Linked DNA regions of Macaca mulatta. The protein of the gene in region 1 purifies or fractionates together with the protein of each later gene. This does not show direct contact. Links are inferred from orthologs where the notes say so. Each region holds a gene or a part of one and is shown in the gene's direction. Other genes may lie near its edges.

What was found.
Region 2: the proteins of DNMBP (region 1) and DNM2 purify together in Homo sapiens (co-immunoprecipitation; 3 studies listed by BioGRID and IntAct, with this or other methods). This does not show direct contact. The link is inferred for Macaca mulatta from reciprocal best matches to the Homo sapiens genes DNMBP and DNM2.

Annotation. Positions count from the first base shown.
Region 1 is NC_133414.1:111,946,285-111,954,534, reverse strand, and holds part of DNMBP (dynamin-binding protein), read left to right. Parts: intron 1-2,149; coding exon 2,150-2,278; intron 2,279-4,695; coding exon 4,696-5,028; intron 5,029-5,430; coding exon 5,431-5,610; intron 5,611-7,077; coding exon 7,078-7,276; intron 7,277-8,250. UniProt on the Homo sapiens protein: Plays a critical role as a guanine nucleotide exchange factor (GEF) for CDC42 in several intracellular processes associated with the actin and microtubule cytoskeleton.
Region 2 is NC_133424.1:11,519,484-11,527,733, forward strand, and holds part of DNM2 (dynamin-2), read left to right. Parts: intron 1-2,429; coding exon 2,430-2,590; intron 2,591-6,199; coding exon 6,200-6,342; intron 6,343-8,250. UniProt on the Homo sapiens protein: Catalyzes the hydrolysis of GTP and utilizes this energy to mediate vesicle scission at plasma membrane during endocytosis and filament remodeling at many actin structures during organization of the actin cytoskeleton.

The DNA of each region.
Region 1 (8,250 bases):
GGAGCCAACCTGGCCAACATGGTGAAACCCCGTCTCTACTAAAAGTGCAAAAATTAGCTGGGCATGGTGGGAGGTGCCTGTAATCCCAGCTACTCGGGAGGCTGAGGCAGGAGGATCGCTTGAACCCGGGAGGCGGAGGTTACAGTGAGCTGAGCCAGTGTGGGGAACAAGAGTGAGACTTTGTCTCAAAAAAAAGAAAATATATAATTAGGTAAAAATTAGGGTTGATAAAACTTTGCAGAAGCACATTGGCTTAAAGTGGGAGATTTGACAAAACATTGGGGCATGAGCCAGGCATGTTAACACACACCTGTAGTCTCAGCTACCCAGGAGGCTGAGGTGGGAGGATTGCTTGAGCCCAGGAGTTGGAGGACAGCCTGGCAACATGCAAGACCCTATCTCTAAAACAAACAGGCAGGGCACAGTGGCTCATGCCTGTAATCCCAGCACTTTGGGAGACTGAGGTGGGCAGACCACTTGAGGTTAGGAATTCAACACCAGCCTTGCCAACATGGTGAAACCCCATCTCTATTAAAAATACAAAAGTTAGCCAGGCATGGTGGTGGGTGCCTGTAACCCAGCTACATGGGAGGTTGAGGCAGGAGAATCACTTGAACCCAGGAGGTGGAGGTTGCAGCGAGCTGAGATCGTGCCATTGCACTCCAGCCTGGGTGAGAGTGAGACTCCATCTCAAGAAAAATAAAACACACACAATATTGGGGCAGCTACTGAGTATGTTTCTTTGTCTTGCTGCTTCATAGGACTTTCCCCTAATACCTCTCTCATGCTGATATCCCTCTGTTGGCCATTTTCTCCCCAGGTTTTCTAAAGTGTGACACGCTACACCTGAGCCCTCAGCCCTTAAAAGTCTCACCTCCGTAGCAATGACTGATACATTTTGGGTTGGGATATATGTAACGTTGAAAACCATCTGATGGAAGTGTCAATTCGGTTCTGACTGCTGACAGAAATTGAGAGAAAATGTTGAACAGTTCTGTCATGCCACAAAATGAAAAGCCTGCCCAATAATAAAATTAGATAGATTGACTAACAGTGAGAAAACCAGAGAGAACATAAGCTGAGGGCCACTGGCTGGATAATTTGGTATCTACATTGGCATATGGGCTGATATTTGGGGACTTTACAGCATTCCTTTAAAAGAAAACAAGAGGACATCATGTTTCACATTACATCTCCCAGTCAGGAGGAATTAGCAACATTCCCTGGATTATCTTACTGACAAAGCCCTGGCTTTGTATGTACAGATATAAATATTAACGACAAAAGGTCTAAAAATTGTTATAAAAATAAAGCATCAAACCAATGTGTGAGGCACTGAAGGTTTTTGCTTAGGGACTTTGTTTGCCCTTGAAATAGACTAATGGAGTATTTAGTCTGTTTGGGTTACAGCCCAGCATTGTAGAGATGGGGTTTCACCATGCTGGCCAGGCTGGTCTCAAAAGAAAGCCTGGAAAACCAACCTGGGGTTCAAACTATCACTATCTGGAGGAGTTGACTCTGTGATAATGGAGTCAGCAGACAAAACAGACAAAAGTCTACCTTTATGGAGCTTGCATTTTTACTAGGAGGGTGGGTGAAGGAGAGCATGACAATAAGCAGGCATTAGTCAATTCTAGTCATGTGAGAGGGTATTTTTTTGCAAAGACAAAGAAAGGAAGCAGCACAGCAGGAGCCGTTGGGAGCGCCAGGGTGGGATGGGAAACCGGGCTGGCATGATCAGTAGCATGGCAGGGCAGTTGTCTGTGAGACGGTGACAGCATGAACCAAGACCTGAGGAAGGAGAAGCGACTGGTCATTGTCATAATCCTATAGGAATCACCTTGGTTCTAATTTGATAATTTACTTTTTGGTAAATTAAGAAAACCTATTAGGTACATAGGGGAATAATACTAAAGAGATGATAAAAGCCCTCCCTAATTTTTTAAGAAATAAAACTCTTAGACTTTTCTCTGTGCTCCGTAAGTCATAGTTGTTGAAAATATGCTTATTTCAAAGCTCAAATACCAGACTAGTGAGGAAATTTCAAATTATGGAACGCATTTTTCCCAGATTGCTATTCAGGGTGATGGATGACAAAGGCTGGAAAGTTCTGTCTGTTCTGACTTGTGTCTGTCCTCACTGGCTCCAGGAGTCGGCGTGTGTGAAAGTGGTGGCTGCCGTGAGCATGTGGGATGTGTGCATGGAGCGAGGACACCGGGACCTGGAGCAGTTTGAGAGGGTGCATCGCTATATCAGTGACCAGCTCTTCACAAACTTTGTAAGTAACTTTTTCTTCAAAAGTTGGCCCCCTTCCCAAGGTCATCTCAAATGCATCAGCTCATGCAAAAGTCAGTTCCACAGACGCAGGCCCTGGGCGCCAGGCATATTAGTCATCCTTTAGCTATATTCATATTGGGGTTTGATATTCACAACATGACTTTCAGTTAGTTAAAGGGAAATGTAGGACCTGTGTCTGTACAAACAGATTTTTTTAAAAAACAGCTTGTAGGGCCGGGTGCAGTGGCTCAAGCCAGCAATCCCAGTACTTTGGGAAGCCGAGGTGGGCGGATCATGAGTTCAGGAGATCGAGACCATCCTGGCTCACACGATGAAACCCCGTCTCTACTGAAAAATATATTAAAAAATTAGCCAGGCATGGTGGCAGTAGCCTGTAGTCCCAGCTACTCGGGAGGCTGAGGCAGGAGAATGGCGGGAATCCAGGAGGCGTAGCTTGCAGTGAGCCAAGATTGCGCCACTGCACTCCAGCCTGGGCGACAGAGCAAGACTCCATCTCTAAAAAAAGAAAAAAAAAATAGCTTGTGATTAATTTAGTTAAAGAGGACACAGGAAAACTAGGCAATTAACTGATCAAATAAAAACAACTATAGGAGTAATAACTTGAAGAGGGGCCAGGTGCAGTGGCTCATGCCTGTAATCCTAGCACTTTGAGAGGCAGAGGCAGGCAGATCACTTGAGGTCGGGAGTTCAAGACCATCCTGACCAACGTAGTGAAACCCTGCTGCTACTAAAAATACAAAAATTAGCAGGGCATGGTGGTGGGCACCTGAAATTCCAGGTACTCAGGAGGCAGAGGTCAGATAATAGCTTGACCCCAAGAGGAGGTTGCAGTGAACCAAGATTGCACCACTGTACTCCCTCCTGGGCAACAGAGTGAGACTACATCTCAAAAAAAAAACCTTGAAGACAAATATTTAGGAATATAATTCATATGTTACCAAAGAGATTTGAGATGATAAAAACTACTTCAAGGCCGGGCTCATGCCTCTAATCCCAGCACTTTGGGAGGCCAACGTGGGTGGATCACCTGAGGTCGGGAGTTGAGACCAGCCTGACCAACATGGAGAAACCCCGTCTCTACTAAAAATACAAAATTAGCCAGGCATGGTGGTGCATGCCTGTAATCCCAGCTACTCAGGAGGCTGAGGCAGGTGAATCGCTTGAACCTGGAAGGTGGAGGTCATGGTGAGCTGAGATCTCCAGCCTGGGCGGCAAGAGCGAGACTCTGTCTCAAAAAAAATACTTAAAGACCAAATTTCTTGAGAAATTCTAAATCCATATATATGGGATTATTTAATCCCTTGTAGAAAAAAAACTGGATGGGATTTGATAGTTTCTTAGGGATCTATAAATGGCTTGAAGGTGAAAAAGACATGCCCAGCTGGGGAGCTGACAGGTGTTCTAATTGTACATTATTTTTAATAAGATGCTATTAAGTACTACTAAGTACCTGTTTATGTTCTTTATGTATTCATTGCCTTACCCTTAATGTCTGTGTGTTAGAAAGAATTAAAGAGAAAAATTTATTATTTTTGATATGGAGTCTCTCTGTCACCCAGGCTGGAGCGCGGTGGCACAATCTCGGCTCACCGCAACTTCTGCCTCCCGAGGAGCTGGGACTACAGGTGCACACCGCTGCACCTGCCTGAGTTTTGTATTTTTAGTAGAGACAGGGTTTTGCCAGGCTGGTCTCAAGCTTCTGACCTAAAGTGATCCGCCCACCTCGGCCTCCCAAAGTGCTGGGATTACAGGCATGAGCCGCCATTCCCAGCCAAGAGAAAAATTCTTTGAAAGATAAAAATGGGGGCCGAGTGTGGTGGCTCATGCCTGTAATCCCAACCACTTGGGAGGCTGAGGCTGCAGTGAGCCGAGATTGCGCCATTGCACTCCAGCCCGGGTGAAAGAGCAAGACTCCGTCTAAAAAAAAAAACAAAAAAAAAAACGGTATTACCTAGTTATGATTAAAGGTTTATGAGTGTATGAAAGTTACTCCACCCCAGATTTATGTAACAACTAACTCTGGAGTTAAATTCAAGCTATGTAGACATGTACACATAAGAAATGTTACCAGGTAAACTATCACATCTAGTTTCTAATGCACATATCAGCGTGCAGCTTAGCATTTATCACCTCAAGGAGCTCAAGTGGGATTAGCATATTTTACATACTCTTTGGTGTGGGAATTGAAGTATGTAGTGAGAAGTCTTGTGGAGTATTTAAGTAGAGGCTAGTGATGGGTTAGTAGAATACTGTTGTAGATCTGCATGGGTTTAGCTTGTGTACTAGAAACAAAGTAGGTCGTTGAGGACACAGCAAAATCAGCCTTAAGAGTGACTTGGAGAATCACAAATGTGGGGTGCTGTCCATCTGAGCAATGTGCCTTTCTCGTCCCTACAGAAGGAGAGGACAGAGCGGCTTGTCATCTCCCCCTTAAATCAGTTACTGAGCATGTTTACAGGGCCCCATAAGCTGGTACAGAAACGCTTTGACAAGCTCCTGGACTTCTATAACTGTACAGAACGGGCAGAGAAGCTAAAGGACAAGAAGACCCTGGAGGAGCTGCAATCGGCCCGGAACAATTACGAGGCCCTGAATGCGCAGCTGCTAGATGAGCTGCCCAAGTTCCACCAGTACGCCCAGGGCCTCTTCACCAACTGTGTCCACGGCTACGCTGAAGCCCACTGTGACTTCGTGCGCCAGGCTCTGGAGCAATTAAAGCCACTGCTTTCAGTGAGTTTCTTACCCCTTCAGTGGGATGGTCATCTGTGGCCTTTGCCTGGTATTTTTCTGGGAAAAATTGTAGCATGGTTTGAAAAATTGTCTGAACTAGATTAACTGAACGTGTCGCTAGTTCAGCCCTCAGGAATTCTTGATCCCTTGATGGTGTCATGAAGCCTGTGGCTTCTGAGACATCCCTTTTCCTCTTGAGCAGTTCCCAGAGGAGCCAGCCAACCTGGCCCGCAGGCAGGGCCCTGGAGAACTTGTGTTTTGCATCAGGCTGCTGTGTCCGTGGCTCAGAGAGTGAGCTGCAGCTGAACTTTAGCTTCAGTGGTTCTCAGGAGACTTTGTCAGTCTGGGATCTTTCATCGTGTTTTCTTTTCTCTCTCTCTCTGCTTTTCCCACGGACTCCAGTTACTCAAAGTGGCCGGCAGGGAGGGAAACCTTATTGCCATCTTCCACGAAGAACACAGTAGAGTTCTGCAGCAACTCCAGGTTTTCACCTTCTTCCCGGAGTCTCTTCCAGCTACCAAGAAGCCGTTTGAGAGGAAAACCATTGACCGCCAGTCTGCTCGAAAGTCACTCGTGGGCCTGGTTAGTAGGGAACTGAGAGGAGCAGCCCCACCTCGGGGTAAAGAGTGGGAAACCCTGCAGCCAGGCCCAGATCCCACTATTGGAGTTTCTGTATTTCATAATAAATGGAGAATAATGGTTGCATTCTCACCCATCATGGGCTCATGCATTTGCCCAGTTTTTGTTTGTTTTGTTTTTGAGACAGTCTCTCATTCTGTTGCCAGGCTGGAGTGCAGTGGTGCAATCTTGGCTTATTGCAACCTCCGCCTTCTGGGTTGAAGTGAATTCTGCTTTCAGCCTCCCAAGTAGCTGGGACTACAGGCACACGCCACCACACCCAGCTAATTTTTGTATTTCTTAGCAGAGATGGGGTTTTACCATGTTGGCCAGAGTGGTCTCGATCTCTTGACCTTGTGATCCATACACTTCGGCCTCCCAAAGTGCTGGGATTAGAGGCGTGAACCACCACGCCCGGGCTTTTTTTTTTTTTTTTTTTGCAGGGAGTGGGGGCATTCACCTGGTATTAATTTATTGATTCATTAATTCAGGAAACTGATTTAAGGGTGTATTAATTCTGCCAGGCCTCCCTATTTTTTATCCTGTATTCATAAAAGTAATACAGCTAAACAGTTAATGTTTGACTGCCTTTTTTACCTGGAATTAGTCTTTTTTAACTCAGTTCTTCCATATTTTAAAAACTAGCATAAGGCACACCAGATTATATGGGTTCATAATCTAGAGGACTGTGGATACATCTTTGCTTACAATATTTTTGCCCCATATGATCCCATAGACATTAATTTACATTACCTTAAAAGGGAGAATTATGATTTATTTTTTGAGACAGAGCCTTGCTGTCACCCAGGCTGGAGTATAGTGGTTCGATCTTGGCTTACTACAACCTCCCAGGTTCAAGTGATTCTCCTGCCTCAGCCTCTTGTAGCTGGGATTGCAGGCATGCATCACCATACCTGGCTAGTTTTTCTATTTTTAGTAGAGACAGGGTTTCGCTATGTTGACCAGACGGGTCTCGAACTCCTGGCCTCAAGTGATCTGCCCACCTTGGCCTCCCAAAGTGCTGGGATTACAGGTGTGAGTCACCATTCCCAGCCTGAATTTATTATTACCTTTTTTCTTATGACTTCCTTGCTTTCACAGGTGGGGAAGTTAAGACAGGGAAAGTCTCAGTTGGTTAGGTTCATCTAACAAAATACAAGAAGACCTACTAATATCACTTAGATATTTTGATTTTTTTTTAAGTGGCATTTTAATCATGTTTGTCACAGAAAAATGAATGTAAGAATAGGTGTGTATCAAATTTTCTTAACTATAAAGGCATCAAACATTGCCTAAGGGCTCTTTTTACGTAGCCATGTGCGCTGGCTTCATCACAAAAAAAAAGTTCTGAGACTGGCCGCGTGTTGGGATGAAATATGGCTGCTGGGGTGGTGGCCACTGAGGGATTTTTGTTGATGTCTTGCCTTTCAGCCAAGTTACATGCTACAGTCAGAAGAACTCCGGGCCTCCCTCCTGGCCAGGTATCCCCCTGAAAAACTCTTCCAGGCAGAACGGAACTTCAATGCTGCTCAAGACTTGGATGTGTCACTTTTGGAAGGTGACCTGGTGGGTGTGATTAAGAAAAAAGACCCCATGGGCAGTCAGAACCGCTGGCTGATTGACAATGGAGGTAAGAGATTTTCAGCAGCAGGGAATTGTAACTGGGAAAAAAATAGTTTTAGCTACACCCGAATCTGGACTAGACCAGGAAAAAAAAATATCTTTGATTAAGGGGAAAAGTAGCCTTAACCTTCTCTACAGAGTGAAGATCATTACTGAAACAAAACCTGTTTTTATTGGGACGAATTCCAGAGGAGACGCCATTGCTTATCACGCAAGCTCTTGCCATGTCTTACAGCACTTACAGGCGGGAAGGCCTGCCTCATGGAATCCTGTTCCTTCCTAGCCTTTTCCCAGTAGGCCACAAAATAAGCTGCCCTCTTTTCAATTTTTTTTTTTTTGTGTGTGGCAGTCTTGCTCTGTTGCCCAGGCTGGAGTGCAGTGGCACAATCATAGCTTATTACTCCTGGGTTCAAGGGGTCCTCCTGCCTTAGCTGGGACTACAGGTATGCCATCATGCCCAGCTAATTTTTCAATAATTTTATAGATATGAGGTCTTGCCATGTTGTCCAGGCTGGTCTCCAACTTCTAGGCTCAAGCCATCCTCCTGCCTATTTCTCCTAAAATGCTGGGATTATAGGTGTGAGCCACCGCAGCCAGCACCTCTTCCAATTTCTATGAATTTGTCTTGTGGAAATTAAAAACCTGTGGGATTTCATGCTTGCTTCTCCCCATAACAGCTTTACCTCATGACTATTTAGGAAATTACTTTAAAAACAGCTTACAACTTTTTTGGAGGGAGAGTGATTGGCAGAATTTAAGTAAGTGTACAAGGGATAATATTGATCTGTAATCCCTTTTTCCAAAATCCAAAAAGTTCTTAAAAAAACAAGGATTTTTTTCAGAACACTTTTGCCAAAACCTGAATGAAAGTGATGTGAGACTATAATTGTAACTTACCACTTTTGGTGTGAATAATCATGTGTGTATATTTTTCATTTTTATCTTTTGTGACAGGGTCTAGCTTTGTCACCCAGGCTAGCT
Region 2 (8,250 bases), on another chromosome or scaffold:
CTTCAGAAGCCCTCCCACTGGACCCTTTTTCCTGGCGTACTAATGACTCCCAACTCCTGCTGCTTTACGGGAACCCAGGCTAGGCGTGGTGGCTCATGCCTGTAACCCCAGGACTTTGGAAAGCACAGTTGGGAGGATGGCTTGAGGCCCAGAGTTTGAGACCAGCCTGGGCAACACAGCAAGACCCCATCTCTCTCTTGAAAAATCATACAGGCTTGGCACAGTGGCTCATGCCTGTAAACCCAGCACTTTGGGAGACCAAGGCGGGTGGATCACCTGAGGTCCGGAGTTTGAGGCCAGCCTGACCAACATGATGAAACCCTGTCTCTACTAAAAATACAAAAAAGAATTAGCCGGGTGTGGTGGTGCACACCTGTAATCCCAGCTACTAGAGAGGCTGAGACATGAGAATCGCTTGAACCTGGGAGGCGGAGGTTGTAGTGAGCTGAGATTGCGCCACTGTACTCCAGCCTGGGTGACAAAGTGAGACTCTGTCTCAAAAAAAAAGAAAATATCATCCGTGTGTGATGGTACATGTGCCTGTACTCCCGGCTACTCAGGAGACTGAGTTGGGAGGATGGCTTGAGCCCAGGAGTTCAAAGCTATAGTAAGCTATGATTGTGCCACTGCAATGCAGAATGGGCAACAGGGCGAGACTCCATCTCTTAAATAAGTAAATCAACCCAAATCCAAGCTAGATGCCTTTTGCTGGCCCCTGCTGTTTCCGTCTTCGTGCTGTCACACAGGTGATGGTGATTTTGTCTTCACAGGGATCTAGGTTCAGATCTTGGGTCTCCTACTGTGACCTCACCTTGGCATGTCTCCATTTCCCTCCTCCCTCTTGGATCTGAGAGAGATCTGGAGAGGATGAAGAGCAGTCACATCTCACAAGACCTTACAGGATAGATGACAGGCACCTCTCCCCTTCTCAAGAGAAAAGATGCACAACCCCACTGCAAAGAAAATGGAGCATAGGCCAGGCGCAGTGGCTCACACCTGTAATTCCAGCACTTTAGGAGGCCATGGCTGGCAGATCATGAAGTCAGGAGTTTGAGACCAGCATGGCCAACATGGTGAAACCCCGTCTCTACTGGAAAAAAAAAAAATTAGCTGAGTGTGGTGACACACGCCTGTAATCCCAGCTACTCAGGAGGCGGAGGTTGCAGTGAGCTGAGATTGCGCCACTGCACTCCAACCTGAGCAATGAGAGTAAAACTCTGTCTCAAAAAAAAAAAAAAAAAAAAAAAACCTACGAAACAAAAACCTAGCCAGGAGTGGAATGACAGGCATTCCACTAGGATTCTTTACAACAGCATGCATTGAATTATCCAGCTTTTCTCCTCCATACGTTGAAGTGTTAACTTTCAGTTCTACCTCCTTCTCGGTATAGTTTTGGACTTTTCTTTCGGTTCCACTGATCTCTCTGGACATGAATACTCTGATGTACCCAACTGTTTAAAATATACTTGTTTGATAGTGGATTTTAGCTGTTCCCTATTGCTCTTGTTTTTAATATGTTATTTCTCTTTGTTCTTTTGAGACAATGCCTTGCTCTGTTTCCCAGGCTGGAGTGTAGTGGGGTAATTACAGCTTGCTGCAACCTCGAACTCCCAGGCTCAGGTGATCCTGCCATCTCAGCCTCCCAGGTAGCTGGGACTATACACATGTGCTACCACGCCTCGCTAATTTTTGTATATTTTTGTAGAGATGGGGTTTTGCCATGTTACCCAGGCTGGTCTCGAACTCTTGGGCTCAAGTGTTCCACCCACCTCAGCCTCCTGAAGTGTTGGAATTACAGGTGTGAGCCACTGCACCTGGCCTTGAGATTTTTTTTTTTTTTTTTTATTCAGAGTCTTGCTCTGTCGCCCAGGCTAGAGTGCAGTTGCATGATCTTGGCTCACCGCAACCTCCACCTGCTGGGTTCAAGCAATTCTCCTACGTCAGCCTCCCGAGTCCCTGGGACTATAGTCAGGCGCCACCATGCATGGCTAATTTTTTGTATTTTTAGTAGAGATGGGGTTTCACCATGCTGGCCAGGTGGCCTCGGACTCCTTACCTCATGATCCACCCGCCTCGGCCTCCCAAAATGATGGGATTACAGACTTGAGCCACCGTGCCCGGCCGAGATTTTTTTTCTTACCTGTCTTTGAATCTCAGCTTGTAGATTTCATCCGCCCCAAAGCTTTTTTCTGTCCCTGCACACACAGGCTGGATGTGATCCCTCCTTCCTCCAAATACTTAACGTTCCTCTTCGCAGCTGCCATGTGCATTCGCATCCTCTGTGTTGTTTCCGAGTAACATGTTATGACATAGTCTGTGAGTGCCTTGTGGGACAGGATACATCTCTATACTTGAATCTTGCCCATCTCCATGCCAGGTACACTTGGCTCACCTAGCTTTGCCCCTGCCCTGACTGCCTCTCCCCACAGGCTACATTGGCGTGGTGAACCGCAGCCAGAAGGATATTGAGGGCAAGAAGGACATCCGTGCAGCGCTGGCAGCTGAGAGGAAGTTCTTCCTCTCCCACCCGGCCTACCGGCACATGGCTGACCGCATGGGCACACCACATCTGCAGAAGACGCTGAATCAGGTACTGCAAGGGTTTGCAGAGTAGTGTGCAGTGGCGTAGGCTGTGCACTGCACAATAGCTGCAGTCCTCACTGGCACTTGTTTCAGGCTAGAGCAGCAGTTGTTTTAGCAAAATAGGTTCAGTCCACATTTATTTGTGCTGTAATAAATGTACTTGGCCAGGTGCAGTGGCTCATGCCTGTAATCCCAGCACTTTGGGAGGCCAAGGCAGGAGGATCACTTGAGCCTAGGAGTTCGAGACCAGTCTGGGCAACATATGGAGATCCTATCTCTAGGAAAAATAGAAAAAAATAGCTAAGCATGGTGGCATATGCCTGTAGTCCCAGGTACTCAGGAGGCTGAGGCAGGAGGATCACTTGAGCCTGGAAAATCAAGACTTCAGTGAGCTATGTTCATGCCACTGCATTCCAGCCTGGGCAATAGAGTGAGACCCTGTTTCAAAAAATTAAATAACTAAATAAAAGCAATGTACTTGATTTAGGGTCTGGTGAAAAGCAGATGTTCAGTGACTTGGTGCTGCTACTATTACAACCATCGCTGTTATTACCAATATTTTAATTACCATTGTAATTATTCAGTCATTTACCCAGAAGATTGTATGCATTGCGTGGTATTGGTGACGGGGTTTATAACGTTTTTATTTATTATTATTATTATTTTTTTTTTTTGGGGGGGAGACGGAGTCTCACTCCATCACCTAAGCTAGAGTGCAGTGGCATGATCTTGGCTCACTCCAACCTCCACCTCCCAGGTTCAAGCGATTCTCCTGCCTCAGCCTCCTGAGTAGCTGGGATTACAGGCATGTGCCACCACACCCGGCTAATTTTTGTATTTTTAGTAGAGATGGAGTTTCACCATGTTGGCCAGGCTGGTCTCAAACTCCTGAGCTCAAGTGATCCACCTGCGTCAGCTTCCCGAAGTGTTGAGATTACAAGCATGAGCCACCGTGCCTGGCCTATCGTTCTCTTCTTATAAGTAATATATTCACAGGGTGCATAAACAGAAATGGTATTAAAAGCTATACAGTGGGCCAGTGCGTGGTAGCAGGGGCAAGATGTTCCTCTGTGCTGTTTTCCAGCACCTTCCAGGATGGCAGCAGGGCCTCAGCAGCACTCCAGGAGTCATCTTTTCACGCACATATCGGGGCACGCAGTGTCCACACGAGAGCAGGTTCCTGTCCTTGTGGAAGGCATAATTCTAATGAGGGAGACTGACACCAAACAAACCACCAGAGAAATGCACGATCAAGAATCCAGTAGGGGCGGGGACCGGGAAAAGAGCCACCCAAAGAAGGCAGCTCAGGAGAGCAAAGAGGGAAGTCAGTGTCTAGAGGGAGGGGCCCACCAGGAGAGGAAGCTGGGGTCTGCCTGCAAACGGGAGTAGGGAGAGGAAGGGAAGTAAAACTCCACAGCTGGCTGGGTCCTCCTGAGAGCCAGCAGCGAAAAGCCCAGGTGGCCACCAGGGAGCCTGGAGGGGGCTCAGCCTCCTTTCGCGTGGGGTGCTTCCCAGAGCAGCAGTGCCCCTTCCTCTCCATTTGCTCACGGCTTCAGTGCAGTAGTATCCTGTCAGAGACCAAGGGAAGGCCAGCGTAGCTCCCTGCCTTTCTAGGCAGCCCACACAGACGGGGGTCCATGGCCGGGGCTGCAGGGCAGGGATCCCTGGTCAAGGAGATCTTTGGGGTACCCCACTGGCTCCATGCCATAGATGTGAGGTTCCTTCATGCCTCTTTTCTAGCTCACTGGACACTTTTTATTTTATTTTTATTTTTTTGATGAATTTTTTTTTTTTTTTTGAGATAGAGCCTCACTGTGTTGCCCGGGCTGGAGTGCAGTGGTGTGATCTCAGCTCACTCCAACCTCCACCTCCCAGGTTCAAGTGATTCTCGTGCCTCAGCCTCCCAAGTAGCTGGGATTACAGGTGTGCGCCACCACACTTAACTAACTTTTGTATTTTTAGCAGAGACAGGGTTTCATCACATTTGCCAGGCTGGTCTCCATCTCTTGATCTCAGGTGATCCGCCCGCCTCAGACTCCCAAAGTGCTGGAATTACAGGCATGAGCCACTGTACCCAGCCTGGCCTTTTTTATTTCTCACCCCCCGCCCCAAGATGGAGTCTCCCTCTCTCCCAGGCTGGAGTGCAGTGGCGCAATCTCAGCTCACTGCAAGCTCCGCCTCCCGGGTTCACGCCATTCTCCTGCCTCAGCCTCCTGAATAGCTGGGACTATAGTCACCTGCCACCATGCCCGGCTAATTTTTTTTTTTTTTTTTTTTTTTTTGTATTTTTAGTGGAGACAGGGTTTCACCACGTTAGCCAGGATGGTCTCGATCTCCTGACCTCGTGATCTGCCTGCCTTGGCCTCCCAAAGTGCTGGGATAACAGGCGTGAGCCACCACCCCCGGCCCATGCCCGGCCTTTTTGATGATTTTTCTCTGTTATCCAGGCTTTCTGATGCATTTTACTCTGTTGTCCAGGCTGGATTGCAGTGACACAAACACAGCTCATTGCATCCTCAGCCTCCTGTACTCAAGCGATCCTTTTGCCTTAGCCTCCTGAGTAGCTGGGACTATAGGCGTGTACTGCCACACTCAGCTAAGTTTTAAAAGGTTTTTATTTTTGGTAGAGAGAAGGTCTCACCATATTGCCTGGGTTGATCTCAAACTCCTATCCTCGAGTGATCTGTCTCAGCCTCCCCAAGTGCTGGGATTACAGGTGTGAGCCACTGCACCCAGCCTTGATGAACACTTTCTAAATTCTTCTCTATTGTGGGACAGATGGCAGAACTCTGCTTTACACTTTTCAAGTATAGGCTGATTTTATAGCTTTGTTTTTCTTTTTCTTTTCTTTTAAATTTTTAAATTAAAAAGAAATTTTTTTTTTGACAGTCTTGCTCTGTCACCCAGGCTAGATAGAGTACCATGGTGTGATCTCGGCCCACTGCAACCTCCACCTCCTGAGTTCTTTCTCAGCCTCCCGAGTAGCTGAGACTACAGGTGCCCACCACCACACCCAGATAATTTTTGTATTTTTTGGTAGAAACAGGGTTTCATTGTGTTGGCCAGGCTGGTCTCAAACTCTTGATCTTAAGTGATGCTTCTGCCTCAGCCTCCCAGAGTGCTGGGATTACAGGTGTGTGCCACCGTGCCTGGCCCACGTTTGTCTATTTTGAATCTTTCTTGCTTCTCTCTGTAGATGCAGATGCAGCCAGGGAGGTCATCTTAAGTGCGTTCTGCTGCTTTTCAGGGGAGATCTTTCCGTCTTAGTTTGTAGGGCCTGTCCCCATGTGTGTTCATTGGCGCCCATGTTCTGTGGTCTGGATGGACTGTCCTTGCAAGTATTTGCATGTCCCCAAGGCGTTGATATGCCCAGTGCCTGATGTCAGCCCCACGGGCTGTTTGTAGCCTCTTACACTCATGAGCAGCTCCGTACCGTCTCCTTTCCCAGACACGAGTGTATCTGTGGCTTGATATATCTGTTGCTGTCTCAAGGCTGTGTGGTGTGCTGGCCTCATAGTGGCACCCTGGTGTTGGCCCTTGGTGGGGGGAGTATGCCTGCTACCCACTGGTCCCCTGCCCATGCCACCCTTTCTGATCTCTGACCTCTCTCCTGCAGCAACTGACCAACCACATCCGGGAGTCGCTGCCAGCCCTGCGTAGCAAACTACAGAGCCAGCTACTGTCCCTGGAGAAGGAGGTGGAGGAGTACAAGAACTTCCGGCCCGACGACCCTACCCGCAAAACCAAAGCCCTGCTGCAGTACGTACCCTGGCACCCGCCCCCACCACCAGCCTGGCTCCTGCCTTCCATCCGCCACGGGGCCCCCTAGACTGGGCACCACTCATCACTCGTCCACTCATTCATTCAGCAGACACTCGCTGCAAGCATTCTGCGTGCCAGGCTCCATCCTAAGCACGGCAGTCGCCCCAGTGGACGGGACAGGTGTCCATCCCTGCCCCCTGGAGTGCTCAGAAGCGGGGGAAGTGGGATGAATGGGACAAAAAATAAGAAAGAAAATGTATAGTGTGTTAAATTATGAAAGTGGTGCTAGCGTGGGAGTCGTCGGGAACAGCCTTCTTTAGAAGGGGAGCATTGGCCGGCCAGGTGCAGTGGCTCATGCCTGTAATCCCAGCACTTTGGGAGGCCAAGGTGGGTGGATCACCTGAGGTCAGGAGTTCGAGACCAGCCTGATCAACATGGTGAAACCCCATCTCTACTAAAATTGCAAAATTAGGCCAGGCACGGTGGCTCACGCCTGTAATCCCAGCACTTTGGGAGGGCAAGGTGGGCGGATCACAAGGTCAGGAGATCGAGACCATCCTGGCTAACGTGGTAAAAAAATTACAAAAAATTAGCTGAGCGTGATGGTGGGCGCCTGTGGTCCCAGCTACTCGGGAGGCTGAGGCAGGAGAATGGCATGAACCCAGGAGGTGGAGCTTGCAGTGAGCCGAGATTGCGCCATTGTACTCCAGCCTGGGCATCAGAGCAAGACTCCGTCTCAAAAATAAATAAATAGGCCGGGCGCCGTGGCTCACGCCTGTAATCCCAGCACTTTGGGAGGCTGAGGCGGGCGGATCACAAGGTCAGGAGATCGAGACCATCCTGGCTAACACGGTGAAACCCCGTCTCTACTAAAAATACAAAAAAATTAGCTGGGCGTGGTGGTGGGCGCCTGTAGTCCCAGCTACTCGGGAGGCTGAGGCAGGAGAATGGTGTGAACCCGGGAGGCGGAGCTTGCAGTGAGCCGAGATCCCGCCACTGCACTCCAGCCTGGGCGACAGAGCGAGACTCCGTCTCAAAATAAATAAATAAATAAAATTGCAAAATTAGCCAGGCATGGTGGTGCATGCCTGTAATCCTAGCTACTCAGGAGGCTGAGGCAGGAGAATTACTTGAACCCGGGAGCGGAGGTTGCAGTGAGCCGAGATCACGCCATTGCACTCCAGCCTGGGTGATAGGGCAAGACTCCATCTCCAAAAAAAAAAAAGAAAGTGAGCGTTGGCCAGGCATGTAATGTAATCCCAACGTTTTGTGAGGCTGAGGCGAGAGGATCACTTGAGGTCTGGAGTTCAAGACCAGCTTGGCCAACGTGGTGAAACCCTGTCTCTTCTGAAAATACAAAAATTGGCCGGGCATGGTGGCATTCTCCTGTAATCCCAGCTACTTGGGAGACTGAGGCAGGAGAATCACTTGAACCCAAGAGGCAGAGGTTTCAGTGAGCTGAGAACACATCACTGCACATCAGCCTGGGCAACAGAGTAAGCCTCTGTCTCAAAAAAAACAAGAACAAGTTGAGTGTCAGGCGAAGACCTGAAGCAGGTGAGGGAGGGAGCCATGTGGGATGAAGCCTGGCCAGTGCACAGGCCCTGGGGCAGGACTGGGTCGGGCATGTCAGAGGAGGACCGTGTGGCTGGATGGAGTGAGTGAGGGGAGGGGGAGGAGGTAAAGGAGCAGCTGTGCAGGGCCTTGTGGGACCTCATGGAGGACACTGGCTTTTGCTGTGAGTGAGGTGGGAGCCATGGACAGTTCTGAGCGCAGGAGGGTCAGGGCTGACTCAGGTGCTCACAGGCTCCCCTGGCTGCGGTGGGAGAAGAGACATGGGAGAGAGGGTAGGAGTCAGACCTTGGGTTAGGTCCCTCTCCGGCTTGGGCTTTTAAGATCCGCCCC